5 separate regions of the Mus musculus genome follow, and all the other regions are reported to be linked to region 5. Evidence: microRNA targets listed by miRTarBase, many of them from high-throughput screens and not tested one by one. Region 5 holds a microRNA gene; each other region holds the end of a gene's coding sequence.
Evidence for each region. The annotated mature microRNA mmu-miR-124-3p reads UAAGGCACGCGGUGAAUGCC and lies in region 5 at 1,867-1,886, opposite strand. An mRNA with a match to its seed (bases 2 to 7 or 8) in the 3' UTR can be bound and repressed. Matches are read on the target gene's strand: a 7mer-m8 pairs with bases 2 to 8, a 7mer-A1 pairs with bases 2 to 7 and ends in A, and an 8mer does both.

Region 1: miRTarBase lists Leprotl1 as a target of mmu-miR-124-3p. The part of its 3' UTR that is shown has no 7-base or 8-base seed match.
Region 2: miRTarBase lists Irx3 as a target of mmu-miR-124-3p. The part of its 3' UTR that is shown has no 7-base or 8-base seed match.
Region 3: the mRNA of Cdh1 is a reported target of mmu-miR-124-3p. Seed matches in the 3' UTR shown: 7mer-m8 at 2,320-2,326.
Region 4: the mRNA of Traf6 is a reported target of mmu-miR-124-3p. Seed matches in the 3' UTR shown: 7mer-m8 at 543-549, 8mer at 849-856 and 7mer-m8 at 1,944-1,950.

Annotation. Positions count from the first base shown.
Region 1 is chr8:34,135,279-34,138,278 of GRCm38, reverse strand. Leprotl1 (leptin receptor overlapping transcript-like 1) reads left to right here. Exons shown (of 4, transcript NM_026609.2): 4 at 441-2,707. The coding sequence ends at 557. Among named protein-coding and RNA genes, the nearest start is that of Leprotl1, 10 kb to the left of the region's middle.
Region 2 is chr8:91,796,080-91,799,079 of GRCm38, forward strand. Irx3 (Iroquois related homeobox 3) reads right to left here. Exons shown (of 4, transcript NM_008393.3): 4 at 2,432-2,897. The coding sequence ends at 2,843. Gm39222 (a long non-coding RNA gene) reads right to left here and starts at 1,664. Exons shown (of 3, transcript XR_879088.2): 1 at 964-1,664; 2 at 811-872.
Region 3 is chr8:106,668,168-106,671,167 of GRCm38, reverse strand. Cdh1 (cadherin 1) reads right to left here. Exons shown (of 16, transcript NM_009864.3): 16 at 921-2,762. The coding sequence ends at 2,553. Among named protein-coding and RNA genes, the nearest start is that of Tango6, 13 kb to the left of the region's middle.
Region 4 is chr2:101,697,004-101,700,003 of GRCm38, forward strand. It overlaps Traf6 (TNF receptor-associated factor 6), which reads left to right. Exons shown (of 7, transcript NM_001303273.1): 7 at 1-3,000. The coding sequence ends at 496. Among named protein-coding and RNA genes, the nearest start is that of Traf6, 20 kb to the left of the region's middle.
Region 5 is chr14:64,588,296-64,592,594 of GRCm38, reverse strand. Mir124a-1 (microRNA 124a-1) reads right to left here and starts at 1,938; the gene lies at 1,854-1,938. Mir124a-1hg (Mir124-1 host gene (non-protein coding)) reads right to left here. Exons shown (of 4, transcript NR_040709.1): 2 at 3,628-3,818; 3 at 2,636-2,754; 4 at 1-2,322. It overlaps Mir3078 (microRNA 3078), which reads right to left and starts at 1,410; the gene lies at 1,324-1,410.

The sequences.
Region 1 (3,000 bases), not on the chromosome of region 5:
TCCTCTGCCCCCGTCAGAGAAAGTACAAGTATGTCTCCCTCACTGGTACTTAGAGTTCAACTTCTGCTCCAAACAAGATTTTAGACTCCCTAAGCAAAACTTCCTTTGTAAGTAGTAATTACACAATCCCATGCGGTGCTGGCGACACGGGGCAGGGTGCATCCTAAACACACAGGACCCTGGGGTGGGACTGCAGAGAGAGCCGAAGCAAGCTACAGTGGCCGTTCTCGAAGGCGAGCTTGTTCCTGAGTGATTTATCACCTCCTACGATCAATCAATAGTAAATAAAAACACATACAGGGTGTGGAGTGTTGTGCTGTGAAGGTCACCCAAGCCACATTGCTTAGGATGGTGATTGACTGATGCACAGAGATGGATTTGCTGTTCCTCGTTGCCTTCACGTCGCGTGTCTGCTGAATGTGTCTCTCTTCCTGCCGTAGATCGAGTGGGGAGCTTGCGCACTTGTTCTCACGGGAAACACAGTCATCTTCGCGACTATTCTAGGCTTCTTCCTGGTCTTTGGAAGCAACGACGACTTCAGCTGGCAGCAGTGGTGAGGAGCTGCTGAACTGTAGTCACGTTGGACTTCTGTCGTCTGCCGGCCACCCGTGCACAGGAGAAGGGGCCGTGATGCTGAGCTGTTGGCGAGCCTCTGGGGTGTCCTAGTTGCTTCCTTCTCACTGTTGTTCGCCTCCTGTTTCCATGGGGACTTGCTGAAGATTAAAAGGATTTTCTCATTTGGAAAAGCTTGGCTGGTTTCCCACTTCTCTAGACTGCTTTCCATGGTGTCCTGCTGAATCTAAAATCCTTACATGTTTTCCCTGTTCAGTTGTTTTAAAATCAGTATGCAATGTTACCCATTTTTAAGATGTAATAGCCATTTGCATTGGTTTAGGAATTCAGAACTTCTGGCTGTATTATGGGCTAAAGTATATATTTTCTCTAAAAATCAGTTAATCTCCATTATTAAAAAAAAAAGTATACATGAGTAAGTTTTCATTCAGTCAGGATGACATCACTCCAGGTGAATGCAAACCTTCAGAGCGTTGACATACCTTATCTACTATTTACTCAGTGAAAGATAGCTGCATTTATACCTCAGGGGGGCCGACTGATACTGCCCATGCCCTCCAGAAGGGTTGCTGGTTTTACTAGTGGACAGGTGTTTTGTGAATTGAAAACTATTTTGTGGAATTGCTATAAAAGAGTGCTTTTCTCCTCAACTGTTAGAAGAATTTATGTTAGACTTTAAGGTACAAGTGTAAAAACAAGTTCCGGGATCCAGTTTCTATCCGTGTGTGTTATGGTCAAAGCAAGCGAGTAGCTGTGTGGGAAAAAGCAACATTGGCTTCCCACTGTCTGCGTGCCGTTTCCATCCTTAGTGACAGGTCTGAGCTCTGTCACCTCTCATGGTTTGGAGGGTGAAAGGGACATGCATGGGACAGTTGTGTGTTTGCAGTGTAGATATTCAAAAGCTTCCCTCTGCTTCCTCCTTTTAACTTATTTGTACATTGTATATATTAAGTAAAAGAACTTTTCAAATATAGTTTAATAACGTTTAGAAATGTTTGACTACTAGGAAACCAATTGCTATGCCATACATGCAGAGTGCCCCTCCCCCACAAGGCCTTGACATGATTCACAAGTGACTTGTTAGTCTTGCAGGTAATCCAGGAACGTGCAGTTGTAGGACTTAGACCACCGTAAGAGTAGTCTCCCAACCTTACAGCGTATGTACTTGAAAAGCACTTAAGGCAGGTTTGCTGTAAACCTCTCAGTTGTCGCGGTTTGGTTTCATCGTGATGGATCCGCTGTCGTGAGTAAGGTATTTATTGTATGAATTCATACAGAGTAGCCAAATCCAGCTGTGTCACCTCTTCAAACACAGCCCTGACCAAAATCTTCTCAGTGACCAGGCATGACCAAATCGTAGCGGTCATTGGCATCTTCAGTTCTCAGTCCTTTCCTTACCCAAGAGCTGATTTTGAAAATGTTCTCATTGATCCAGCAGTATTTTTTGTGAGGACACTTGTATGTCTCTCCAGTGTGCTTATATAAAAAGAAGTGTTCTGCCTTTAGCTGAAAAAATGAGTAACCATGACAACTGTCTTTTGTTGTTGTTTTTTTTCCTACAGTTTATTTCTCAAAAAAACAAAACAAAACAAAAAAAAAACCTGGAACATGCACCAAGTTTGTTCAGCTTTTACTAAAGATGTCTACAGCCGCGGTTTTTATTTTGTTTCTGTTTGCCCTGACCCATGTTTTATTACTATGGTGGTGAGGTGGGAAGCGTTATGAAATGTCCAAATGCGGCCATGCCATTTGTGGGTTAGACCAGCAGTGGCTTGTTGAGTAATGATGACAGAGACTCGCCGGCGGTGTGCGCATGGTCAGAACCCTCTCTGGGATCAAGAATGGAGCAGGAGGTTTTGTCTCTGGTCCTCCCTGCCCTCTGCTCCTTCACAAGCGAAGTGCTGAGCGCTTGGCCATAGACTCCTTTCTAACAGCTGCATATTCTTTCTGGGTACTAACTAATCTTAGCAGCAGCATTGCGTGTCTGACATGACACTGGCTTGCCAATCCCATCTCTGGTTTCTAGGCTAGCTACTTAAGAGTATTTTCATGAGTATGCGCCAACACATTGTCGTCCTACCGTGGAGAGAGAGAAAACTTTTGATGACAAAACAATAAAGATTTTAAATATCCATTTTAGCTTGTGGGTGTTTTCATAATAAAAGTTAAGCCGCTGAAGTGCACTAAGAAGGGGACACTGAGCTATGTGGTGACAAACGCCCTCGCCTCAGAACATGAGAAGCCGAGGCAAGAGGATCAAGAGTCTAAGCCTACTTGGGGCTGCATGAGACCCTGTCTAAAGAATCAAATCTAGGAAGATGCTAGAAAGCAAGCACACTAGCAAGTCAAGTCTGCAGGAGGAAAGAGAAACCATGGCAACAGTACAGCTCTGAGGCTCTGATCCTGAGTGGTGATGCACAGGCCTGA
Region 2 (3,000 bases), not on the chromosome of region 5:
TGGAAGGTAATTTTATTCTCCTTGGGCTCTCTGGCCTTGGCAGGCACTGTCCCTTCCCAGTTCTGTGAAGATATTGGGGAAAGCAGTGTCTCCAACCTAGTGGATCCCACACATACTTTGGATGGCTCTGAGTAACCAGCCGGACAGCAAAGGCACTTCCTAGTGTCGAGCTGACATATTTCACCTCTGATTGGAGCAGCAGCAGGGACAAGACGTACACTACTTCTCACCCCCCCCCCACCACGTCTTCTAACTTTCCTTCTCCATTTTAGGAATCAATATTAAGGAATGGAGGGACTTCTTGGGACCCTTTCCTCTTTTGCTGGGAACCTGGGAGATTCTGTTTTGCTTTGGTTGAGTTGGTATACTGAGGTCAACTTGGGAACGGTGGTGTCTGAAGCACACACTGTATGAGATATGCCCAGGGTGGGGCTGGCTCCCCCATGCCTCCTCCTATTGCTGTACTTTCAAGATAGACAGTCTGGGCAGTTCCGGAAGCTTCACTGGAGAGAGACCCTATGTCCACCCATCTCTCTCCCACTGATGAAGTCCCTCTCTCTGGGGACCTCCTCCCAGAAGACTGTGCCTACCAACATCATTTTTCCCCTGGGTAGTTTCCTGTTTTCCTTGGTAAAGCTGGTTTCAGGGTCTCTTGAGCCACCTAAAGGAAAGGTCTCACATTTCTGGACAATGGGAAGGGGAGCGGCAGGTACCCCTGGGAACTGAGGATATTTAGTTTAAGCCTCTGCAAATGGCTGGACACCCCTACTTAAGAATGAGCACGGGCAGACCCCCCTCTCTCATCCTCACCTTGTGAAGCAGGCGGCTGGTGAAAAAGAACCCGAGGAAGTGAATTCTCTGCCCTTGGCTTCCTGGGAAGTAAATGGATAGTCAGTGTGGGTCAGGGCTAAGCCCAGGAGGTAGGAACTAAGATGCCCTTGTACAGATACTCATGGCACTAACCAGAGCCTTGACCCTTGTTCTGTGGTACTGACTTCACATGTATGACCTAAGAAGATGGAGCGTCAATGCTTCAACTGTGAAAGACCTTGAACCCCTGAAACACCTTTGCAAACAGAGAAAGGAAGTGTTTGCTTGAATATCAGTCCGTCCCCGTCCCCCCAACCCCCCGCTGTCACTGTCCTTTTCTTTGCTAGTGGTCTCCATTCTGAGGACTTTCGTTATGTGGGCACCGGTCTTCATACAACAGAGTCCCAGGTCGCCCGTGGCTCTGGCAGCTGTGTCCTCATCTCGTGGACCCGTACACTGCGGCGGCCCTCGCATACAGATCCACAATGTTGACTGTGCTGGATCCAGACTGGAAGCTGATCCAGGTTGTAAGCACTAGCTCTTTCTACCTTCCAACAGTGTGCAAGACCTTGCTCACGAGAGCCCTGCTCTGCAGCTCAGATGCACAGTGCATGGCTATCCCGGAAATTCCAAAGGGCCAGACAGGAGGGCCTCAAAGGCGCCCCCACTTCGAACCCCATCCAAGGCGTCACTACTCTGAATGTGATTCTCCACTTCTTAGAATCAAAGTTGGGCAAGCCAGGCAGGCAGTGTCCAGGCAGGCAAGGGACCAGGAGGGCTGCAGAGGCCGGGAAGGTCTGGCGCCGACCGTCCCCTTCGTCCTGTAGAGGGAGCTCAAGCCCCAGGTTTCCCCACTGTGGCGTCCACCCCCCACCCACCCGCCACCTTCGCCCCTCTCTTAACGGTCCCCCGGCTCACCCGACTTCTGACACGATCCCAGCTCCAAAGGTTCCCGGGCTGTACCCCGAACCCACGCGTGATTTCTAAAAGTACTCATAAGCACCTAGGGACCAAACGCCGCCTGGCTTCGGCCTTGGATTTCCAACACCAGCGCGGTCACACGCCACCAAGCGGGAAACGTGAACACCCCGGCTTCTCACGCAGATCCCCCACGCCCTTTGCACCTATAAGGAGCCGTTGGAGAGGGAACCACGGCGAGAAAGGCCTAGGCATTGAGCGTTTAAAGACAGCCCCTATACTCCAGGCTGAGAAACTTCAGTTGAGCGCAGTCAGAAGGGAGCAGGGAGGGCGAGTCTCCCAGCCCACGCCCTGAACTCCTGGAAGCTTCCCTAAGTCTTTCTGCTAAGTCATCAGAGGAGGCCCCAAGGCTCCATGGTTACTCCTGTGGACCCGTGGGCAGAGCCTAGTTTTCCAGCTCCTAGTAAGGAACCAACATCATTTTCTCCTTGGTCTTTGCCCTTTTTTCTCGGTCGCCCAGCGACTCTCATCACCCCTTCTTGGAGAGGCTTCTAAGCCTGGCTACCTAAGCCCGAACGACTTCTGCCATTGCTGTCCTCAGACCCAGCTCATCTTTTCCTGTAGATTCTTTAAACAACGGCCGGGGGTGGGGGGGAAGAAACACCAAAAACACCAAAGAACCATGCAGCAAACCGGTCCATGTGGCAGACCTGCCGGTTATAGTCAAAAGTGGCAACAGCTCATTTATTTAGCCAAAAAATAGATACTTTCTTGTACAATTTGGTTCACACGTATGTACATTTTCCCGTATATACAAAAAGAGTCAGACAGGCTTGTTCTCTCCGTAACCCCACTCCCCCCCCCCCCGAAATCAACACAACGAAGGAACCTCACAATCTAAATGTGGGGTGACTTGGGGGAGGGCCAAGGTGGGGGGACTGGCTTTCTTTCTTTCTTTTGTCCTTTCCTGTTGTTGTTGTTGTTGTTGTTGTTGTTTAGTGTTTCTTTTAAGGTAATCATACACAGACATGCTTGCAACTCGTCACTATACAGAGCGATTTTGTTTTGTTTTGTTTTTTACAATTAGTACAACGATTTAAAAATGGTTGAAAAGTTAAGACGAGGAGAGAGCTGATAAGACCAGAGCAGCGTCCAGATGGTTCTGTGGCCTGGAAGAGAACGGAAGCAGAGACAGTGAGCTTTAGAGTTGGGGAGACTGCTTAGATAGGGGATCCCCTATAAAGCCGGTGTTTAGCTGTGGGAGTATTAACT
Region 3 (3,000 bases), not on the chromosome of region 5:
GGGGATCTGATGCCTACTTCCGGCCTTCTCTCTACACACACATGGCATGCACCAGTCAGAAAAGAAAACTGCTCATGTAAGAAGAAAGTTATACTCCTATCACCATGGTTTTTCCACAGGAGTAAATTGATATTTCTTATTATGAGGACTACCCTGCGAGCTGACAGCAGCATCTGCTGGCTACTGTCGATTGGAAACTGTCAAATGGAAACTGTCAAATGTCATCTGGGTCAACTGACTCAGTCATATAATCCCAGGATCAGTTTCCAATGCCACAAAATGCATATGCATTAAAAGGGGGGGGGGGCAGAGAGGAAGGTTCTCTGGTTGAGTGCACACTGCCCTTACGGGACTCAAACTTCAGTTCCTAGCACACGCAGGGTGGCACATAACCACCCTCCTATAACTAGCTGAAGAGGATCTGACAACTGATCTCCATGGTCACTAGCACTCATGTGTACACACACGCTATCGTTATAATTTATGAAAGAGTACAAAGCACAAAGAAGCTGGGGGTGTTTCTCAAAGGCAGAACACTCACCTAGCACACGAAAGGTCCTAGGTTCAATCTGTACTATCACGGAGCAGGGAGGGGGCAGCGGAAAGGCACTGACAAACGTCGCTCGGGGGAGGCCAGTCTTCCTCTGCACAGAATCGCTGCCTCCATTACTGTTGGAAAATGTCTGCCGACAGCCTTGAAGCTCGCAGGTCCCCCATGCCCCAGTGGCCTTGGTACTTATTGCTCCCACCACACATCACATGGATGGGGCTCTGAGCAGTGACCCCGTGGAAGCATTTCCTCCCCATGCAGGACCCCCAAAGCATGGAGAAGACACATCAGCTGGAAGCTCCCATGATCTGAGTTCACCTCTGTCCTTTGGTCTAGGAATCCTGGCAGAGTCAAATCAAGTGAGCCTCACAACAGTTTAACAAAACTCTTTAATAAAATTCATAAAAATGCATCTTAGAGAACGGTTTCAATGGCTTACCTTTTCCACCCCCCACAAAATACAAAATTATCAGCACCCACACACATACACTCAAACTACATACAAAGGTCACTCTAGCAACATTACATGATTAAACTACAGAGAAATCAACAGTTCTCACAGTTGATTGTGGTCATCATTTTCTTCCAAAGTTAGGTAAGTACAGAACTTTCAATAAAATTCTTTCCAGTGGTTATCAAAAAGCTGAGATTTGCATTTTGAATGAAAACTCTCAAAGGTCTTGTCTCCTTTTTCCCGTTAGAATGTTCTCTTCCTGCTTCCTGAGAAAATGCACAATTTGTAATATTCTCAGTTTTCTCTTTTGGTTTGCAGAGACAGGGTTTCTCTGTGTAGCCCTGGCTGTCCTAGAATTCGCTTACTATACTATATATACCAGGTTGGCCTCGAACTCAGGGAGATCTGACTGCCTCTGCCTCCTGAGTGCTGGGCTTAAAGGTGCGCGCCGCCACACACAGCATAGTCTCAGTTTTCTACTCAGAACTGGGCAACTTGGGTTTAAATCGGCCAGCATTTTCTGTAGCTACCATCAAGAGCAGGCATTGGAGGGGTGCATTTCCTGGGCTTCAGGAATACATGGACAAAGATTCCAGCCAGAAAACATTGGTTGAGATAAGCCTAGTCTTCCAGAAATCTTGTGGGATAGGTCTCACCGCCTGTGTACCCTCACCATCGGTGTGCCAACTAGCCGGGTTCGCTGATGTTGCTGTCCCCAAGTTTGGTTTCTCTCCTTTTCTCTCCTCTGTCTTTGGTGGTGGCACTCCAGTCTCTCTCAGAGAACAACCATTCTTTAGTTTTGGTTTGAAAGAAACGCCAAGAAACTTAAGTGGTGCCCGAAAACCTCCCTGCAGGTTCTGATCAAAGCAACATATCCCACTATGGCATGCACCTAAGAATCAGGTGTGTACCTAAGAATCTGAGACGTGTGCAGCATGCATAGTGGTCCCTTTTTTTTGTTCTGCCCCAGACACATAGCCGAACAAGGAATGCCACTGTAAATGAGTTCTCTGGAGGTGGAGAGGGAATACCACGAAAGATCTTGGGAACACACACACTATCCAGCGCAGTTGCACCCACACCAAGATACCTGTCTCTCACCATAAAAGGGCCCAGGCATTTCTGCATCCTAGAATATCACCTGGGCAGGGCAACAGAATTCAGGAACATGAGTGACTATTAGAATACAGCAAACATGGTAATTGAGGGCAAGTACACAATGTAAAAAATTAGTGAGGTGTGAGGGGCTTGGGGCTGTTGTGTCTGGGGCAGATCATAGCTCAAAAGAACAAAAACAGAAACAAACAAACAAAAAAAGGCACAGTTTATATCTCAGCACTGTAAAAATAAAAAATAAAAAAAGATTTCAACAATCAGTGAAAACCATCCTAACACAGACAGTCCAGTAGGGAGAGTGAGACCACTATGCAATCTGCACACTTCTCAGATCAGTCTCTCTTCTACACACTCAGGGAAGGAGCTGAAAGACCACTGATATAATTATTCTGCATCTCCCATGGTGCCACACGGGGGAGACTTGCTAGTCCCCTAGTCGTCCTCACCACCGCCGTACATGTCCGCCAGCTTCTTGAATCGGTTGCCCCACTCGTTCAGATAATCGTAGTCCTGGTCCTGATCCGACTCAGAGGAGTTCAGTGAGCTCAGGCTAGCGGCTTCAGAACCACTGCCCTCGTAATCGAACACCAACAGAGAGTCGTAAGGGGGTGCCGTGGGGTCGCTGTCGGCTGCCTTCAGGTTCTAAAAGGAAGAGCACCGTACTTATCAGTATGCATCAGAGGCAAGCAACACCCCAAACATGAAAAACTAACCAAGGAGTAGTTAACCCCTTCAAGGTACACACACACACACACACACACACACACACACCAGCACAGAAGGCAAAGTCCCAAGGCCAGGCTGGACAGAGGGTAAGAGCAACGAGAGTCGTCATACTAAAACACGTAGGTTACAGTTCAGCCCAGAAAATCCTCGAAGG
Region 4 (3,000 bases), not on the chromosome of region 5:
CAACTTTGGGATGCACTTGAAATCCCAAGAAGAGGAAAGACCTGTTGTCATCCATAGCCCTGGATTCTACACAGGCAGACCTGGGTACAAGCTGTGCATGCGCCTGCATCTTCAGTTACCGACAGCTCAGCGCTGTGCAAACTATATATCCCTTTTTGTCCACACAATGCAAGGAGAATATGACAGCCACCTCCCCTGGCCCTTCCAGGGTACAATACGCCTTACAATTCTCGACCAGTCTGAAGCACTTATAAGGCAAAACCACGAAGAGGTCATGGACGCCAAACCAGAACTGCTTGCCTTTCAGCGACCCACAATCCCACGGAACCCCAAAGGTTTTGGCTATGTAACATTTATGCACCTGGAAGCCTTAAGACAGGGAACCTTCATTAAGGATGATACATTACTAGTGCGCTGTGAAGTCTCTACCCGCTTTGACATGGGTGGCCTTCGGAAGGAGGGTTTCCAGCCACGAAGTACTGATGCGGGGGTGTAGCGTCCATGTACTTGTGTTCAAAAACTAGGAACCATATGGGAAAACCGTGCCTTCCATGCCTGGCCCCAGTAAACAATGTTCAAACAAGCAGTGGGAGAGGTGTAAGGCCTAGCAGCAGATGTCATCAGTGAGGTCACGAGCCACTTCTTACTGTTAACAAATACCTGAGGCAGTTCCCATGGGAACCTACATGTCCCCTGTATCTTCAAAACGTCAACATTTGAAGGGCCTGTGGCTCATCTGTCTGTCAGGGTACCCCTTCACTGTGCTTCCATGGGCTATTTTGTCCGTGTACTTTACTGTAAAAAAGGCCAGACTTAGCGTGCTGCAGCTCAATCGTTTAATAAGACCGGTGCCTTAAAAACTTGAGGGGTTTTTAGGACACTGATTACTATATTAAACATGAAAATCACCACTGCCTGTGCTGGTGCCAGTAGAGAAGTTACCGCTCTGGTGTTGAGTTCTCATTTAGTTGACTCCTGTGAATTTCAGAGGCTTTGAACCATGATCCCTGGAAGGCTTAAGTTCTCAAGTACTCCCTCCTCTATAGTTCACTAAGGATCCAGGGACTGGTTTAACCCTTACTTAGTGTGAATGTATTGTCCACTGAACACCAAGCATCCCCCACTACTTTCCTGTTTTGAAATATGCTCCAGGCGGCCTCTTCCCAGTCTGTAAGACCGCGGTCATGTGCTTGCCAACTGCTGAGTGTTACTGCCATGGAACCTTTCTTGTCTGTCCCGTGCAGCTTGGTTTCCACAGCCGGTTGCATATCTTCTGTTGCTTGCAAACACAAAATCACCAGCCCAAACGAGTGATTTAGCTCACTAGCCATTAAATGGCATCTCGTGGATGATGACAGCAACTCTTACAGCCAGGAAACTTCAGCCCCTCTTAACTAGCTTTTGATTTAGCTTATAAGGTTAATTGAAATAAAATTGATTTTTCTCAAGGGGTTGGAGAATTGGCTCAGTGGTTAAGAGCCTTGGCTGCTCTTCCAGAGGATCCCCAGTCTGTAACTCCAGTTCCAGGGCATCTGACACCCTCATACAGACACTCATGCAGGCAAAACACCAGTGCACATAAAATTAAACAAACAAATAAATAAATAAATTGATTTCCTCAAAACAGAATTTATTGGAACTTGGGAAATTGTAGGTACCTGAGAGATGCCTAAACCAAGGTTGGCTATCACGGTTGTGTGGACACTCAGCTTGAGTGGTGGCTTTGTCCAGCTCAGTAGAGGTTCTGATCTGTGACCCTAATGTGGAGAGGTGACTGTCGTGCTGCTGTGTATTTGTTAATGTCCTGTACATATACAGTACTTTGGAGTCTAGTTCTCAGGGAGCCCTACGACTAGTTAGAGCCTTTGTAAGGAAGCAGAGGGGATCCTCTCCTGCTGTTTACACAAGATCAGCTATGTGTTCTGGTGGTAAGAAAGGCATCCGTGCCTTCAGCTGAATCAGAGACCCGAGCAGTGCTCTGACCTGCCCTGTTCCCAGAGAACGCTCAGAGCCTCCACCAAGGAGTCTGTTTCTCAGCTGTAGCCAGCCAGGGCCACTTTGACCTCTTCATTTTCCCCTGCTTCCATCCTTCCCCTATAAAGGTGAGGGGAAGACCTTGTCCCCTACCATTATCACAAGCTCATCACAGGTCTCTTCTGTTGGATCCAGGAAATGTGTGTCCCTTAGCTGTGCCTCCAGCAGCCCTGAGCTGCTTGTAGCAACTTCTGCCTAAGGAGCACTGCATGGTCTTATACTGTAGTTGTTTCCCAGTGGAGTAATAAATGTGGGCTTGTTTGTTGTTTCTTTAAAGCAAGCAGTAGCTGTGTCTATATTTATTTAGAAATTGCCTGAAGAAGATTACTCAACTATTTGAAGACTTATTTTCTATATGCCTTTCTTAATTTTTTTATGTTATATGTCACCACAAAAATATGAACTCCCCAACCCCCTCTCCGTTTTTTGAAAAAGGAAATGACATTTAAGAACTTCCTCATCAGATTTCTCTTTTTAAAATATCTGTATTAGGAAGAGCAGTCGTTTCCTGCCGTGGTTTTGACTTTTTTTAAAAAAAACTCTAACATCTTTTAAAGTTTTTTTGCATAAGTTAAACTGTTCCCAGCTTTAAATTGTCCTCCCTATAGGGCAAGTTGGACTAGGTGTTTCTAGTATCCGCATTGAGAAGCCCAGTGCTGAGCCACAATACTCACTAAAAGGCTTTCCCCGTAGAGGTGTGACTGCCCCTAACTGCTAACACGGATGGTTCACTGCAGTGTAATGTCCATCCGCTAGAATACACCTCAGGTAGTTTTAGAACTTGCAGCATTTGGTGTTTGTAATAAGCCAACCAGTTACTTTATGTTACTCAATTGCCACGAATGCAGAGTAAAACTAATCAAGCTGACATTCAAGGTCAACACTTAGTAAGGTCAACTCAGGATCAAGTCTTAGCCTAGAAAGCCGCTTTCTTTACTTCACCACTTTCTGAACATTCTCTTTGTA
Region 5 (4,299 bases):
TCTCAATGAGCACGGGGGGGGGGGGGCAAATGGGTGTACCCCCAAAATGGTACAGCACACTAGCCGTTCTCTTCTAACCCATTTGTGAAGTGAGGGAGCACCCCAGGAAAGGGCCAATTTTTATTTCAAGGGAGGTAGATTTTCTCGAAGCAATGGCTATGGCGTCTCTTAGGACAGCCATTGTGGCTGGGTCTTTCCCTTTCTGCCTTGAAAGCAGTCTGGCTTGTCCGGTAGGACTCAGCCAGAGACACCCTCAGGGTGTGGGCACTGCAGCTTTCTGCCTGCAAGAGTAAGCAGGCGGTGGCTTATTTCTGCAGAGCGGGAGAAGGTTCTGGGAATGCCTAGGTGGAATGTGGTAAATTGAAGCTCAGCCTGGCTAGCTCTAACATTCTCTTCTGTGAGGAAATTTAGAAGTTGAAATCATCGTAAAGAAGGACACATAGTAGATACTCAAGAAATAATGAATACTCTTGAGGAAACTAGGCCAGAGAGGTACTGATCTATGATATACCCTCAAATACTAATTTACTAGACTAGATGAGGCTGAGGCTTTTTGAGACAAGAGTCCTCCATTAACTTCAACGGATGCTCTTTTAGACCCTGATTACTGTGTTAGGAATCAGATTAAACTCCTAAACATCCTTCATGGGCTTGGCCTTGCAAAGGCAGGCCTCTGGCATGACAGCAGGGGGGAGGGCTACAGCCTGCTTCCTGGGGGTGGGTTGTGGGGGGGGGGAGGAGGCCAGCTCTTGGCCTCCTTTCCCTCCCTCTGCTGCTGGGTCCTGCCCCTCCTCCATTTACTCCACCTGAAAATTAATGAGTTTAGGTCGGCCACCAGGCCATCATCCATCCACTGCAGGTTGGCGGAACACTGAGATGGAGACGGGATGGAACTGTGTCGGGGGCCTCCAGGACCAGCTGCTGCTGTTGGGGGCTGATTTGGGAAGCAGGTGCTTCAGGATGAGGGAGGATTAACCCTTTCTGTTCCTGGACAGCCTGCTTCAAAACAGACTTTCCTTAGGCCTCCACCTTACTCATGCTGATTTTCCTTCTGTCTTGGGGTTTTAAGAGCGATGGGGAGAGGCCCACACTCTGGGGGCTGGGGGTGGGCTGCGCCTCCTTTTCCTGTAGCTTCTGGATTTCTGCCTGAAACTTCAGCCACAGCCCCAAGGAGGCTGGGAGGCCCTGCTTTAGAGCAGTGGGCTAGCTGTCAGTTTTGATGGAGTCTGTGCGCTGTCCATGAACAAATTTGCCGATCGCCTTCGCTCACTCCAGAGATCTGTTTAAGCTTGTCAAATGCCCACAGCTCTCCACCAACGGGTGACAAACAGCTTCCCCTAAAGACTACCCCAGCAACCCCAAGCACAATACAAGGTAGCTGCAGTCTAGGCTTTGGGGCAGTCTGCCAGTCGCATGGGTACTTGGTTATTATTATTTGTTTAAGGGTAATAAATTGAAATCCGGAACTAAGACAGGTAGGGATGAAGGTGTCGGCCTTCTACAATGGGCAGGGTCCCAGAGCTGAGGGGCACATTTTACTCTCCAGCCGTCCCCAGGCTATTTTCTGCCGCCGCCGCCGCCGCCGCCACCACCACCACCACCCCCCCGCTTGCATAGATCCGTGTTTCTGTCACAGAATGAGTTGTTTGCTTCCTAGATTCTATTTGCATCTGCACAAACCCCTCTCTGTCGGTAGCTGCACACCTCCCCACCCTAAGGGCTACTTTGCGAGGCACTCAGAAGCCTGCTACCCGTACTGTGGGCGCCTGCAGCTGCAGCGCTGAGATCTGCCCAGGGCGTTGTGCTGGGTCGATCCTTCCGTGGCAGGCCCTCGTGGACCCAAGGTGCTCAGACAGCCCCATTCTTGGCATTCACCGCGTGCCTTAATTGTATGGACATTTAAATCAAGGTCCGCTGTGAACACGGAGAGAGAGGCCTTTCTCCTGAGGAAGGAAGAAGGAAGGAAGGAAAGAAAGAAGGAAGGAAGGAAAGAAAGAAGGAAGGATGGAAAGGAAGGAAGGATGGAAGAGAGGGAGGATGGGAGAAAGGAAGGGAGGAAGAAAGGAAGGAAAGGTGGAAAGAAAGGGAGGGGATGGGGAGAAGATGAGATGAAAAAAATGAGAGATGAGAAAGAAAAAGCTGGCGACGCGTGCGTGTGCGTGCGCACTGACAGCAGGGAGGGTGTGGGGTTGGGGAACGCGATGAGCTAAGGACCACCGCATCCTTCCTACCGCAGCTCCCCCAGTCACAGACAATGAGATAACAGCCACGTCCTCCGTAGGCTCTTTGTTCTCCCGCATCCTTTCGTTTCCAAGCTTTTTCCTGCAAAGGGGAGGGGGGTGGAGGGTTCGGGATGTGGGTGGAAGTGGGAGACGGAGGGGTGCCTCCCCCGTGTTAATTACCCCGACTCCCTCACTCCTCTCCTCGCGCTTCGCCTCCCCTGCAGTTCCAGACAATGAAAAAACATCAACCCCACCTCGCCCCACCGCAGCGAATCCTACCCACCCAGTTCGCTCTCAGCTTCGCCTAGGAAACTGAGGGGGGCCAGGAGGAGGGAGATGACGGAGAGGAAAGGGATGGGAAGCAGGGGCCCAGCTACTGCTGCCTGGGCAGGGCTTGTGACCGCCGCCTTTACCTTGAGTGTAGGGTCCGGGTGTAGCCTGGCCGGGCGTGCCGCAGGGCAGAGCTGCTGCGGTCCCTTACCAGGATCTGTGGGAATCAGCCTTCCGGAACTCTCCTGCTGCGGTCCTCTCGCTTAGGTCCCAAGTGGTGGATGGGAAAAAGGAAAAGAAAAAAAAAATAAATAAATAAGAGCGAGGCCCATCTGGCCCCTCATCAGCCTTGTCAAGTCTTGCATACGCTAAAATGCTAATGACCTAGATAGCTCATGCAAAATGCAGCAGGGAGGGACAGAGAAGGAGGGGGAGCGAAGGGAGAGCGAGAGAGGGAGGAGTGAAGGGAGAGGGAGGGGGAGACAGAGGGAGGAGGGAGACTGGGAGGGGGGAGGGGGAAAAGAGAGAGAGAGAGAGCGCGCACCCCTACATGTTCCCCCACCCCACCCGTCAACCGGTTTTACAGAGGTAAAGGGTGGGTGTAGATTTTAAAAGGTCACCCCTATAGAATGTAGCTGGGTGGGGTGGGGGAGAGATCCCCAAATCCATAGGGACAATAAAATATTATTTTAAGACCCCTCCCTCTCTGCTCTCCATCACTCTGTTTACACACAAGTCCAGTCACCTTATGCATGTACATGTCAATTTCACAAGACTGCTTTCAACAGACACCCACGTTGCCATTCCCTGAACAAACCCACCCAGTGCACCAGAGTGAGGAAGGTGCTTCCTAACCCACAGACCTCCCTCACCTGGTCCATCCCACTCCCTACTAGTGCCTTATCCTTTCAGGCAGTCGTCCCCCCCCCCCCTTTCTCTTTTCTAAGCCTTCCCCATTCTCCTTCCCAATGGCTCAAAAAAGCCAGGTAGAGGGCATAGAGGACAAGTTAAATCTAACTGGATCGGTTCCGTTCAGCTTCCCACCCACCCCACAGGGTTGGGGGACACAGTCTTTACCTAACACTGACCCTTTTAAAGCATGCCACAAAAATCAATAAAATTGAGTCCGAATAACCTCAGAGGTCCGCAGGTCCGGCCGGGTACTGTTGGGCAGCGTTGATCTCTCCAATCGGGGAGCCAGAGTTCCGCGCGTCCCAAGACGCTTTGTCCCGGAACCCCCGCACAATATCCTCATCTTTTTGTTCTCCTTTAAAGGATCCTGGTTGCAGTCCGCCGCGTTTCAGCCAGTCCAAACCAAAGGCGGATCTATTGGAATAAAAAGGGATGGGGATAATATACACGCAGATGGATGCGGGAGAGTAGTGGAGGCTAAAGTCAGCCCCGCAAGCAAGGAGCGGCCTCCCTGGCCAAGCCCCAAGTGCTTCCTCGGCTATTGAAGGGAATTGCTGCTGGCAGGCGCTGATGCTGGCTCCACCTGGCCGGAGGAAAAGCATCCTGGCGATGACCCTGAAAGAATTAAGACACAAAACCAAAAAAAAAAAAAAAAAAAAAAAAAAAAAAACCCCAAACCGAACCAAACCACCAAAACAAAAAAGCAAAAAGCCAGAATCCTCCTCTGGTGAACCAGAGCACGCGTGCAGAAGAAACCGCTCTGCTGGTGGCCGCGGTCGAGGGGGAAGGATGCTAGCGCAGGAGGCGAAGGTTGCAGAGGCTGCACCCTCAGATGAATAATAATAACGCGCTGAGAAGTTGCAGTGCAGCTTGGAAATCCAGCCCTGCGCGTGAA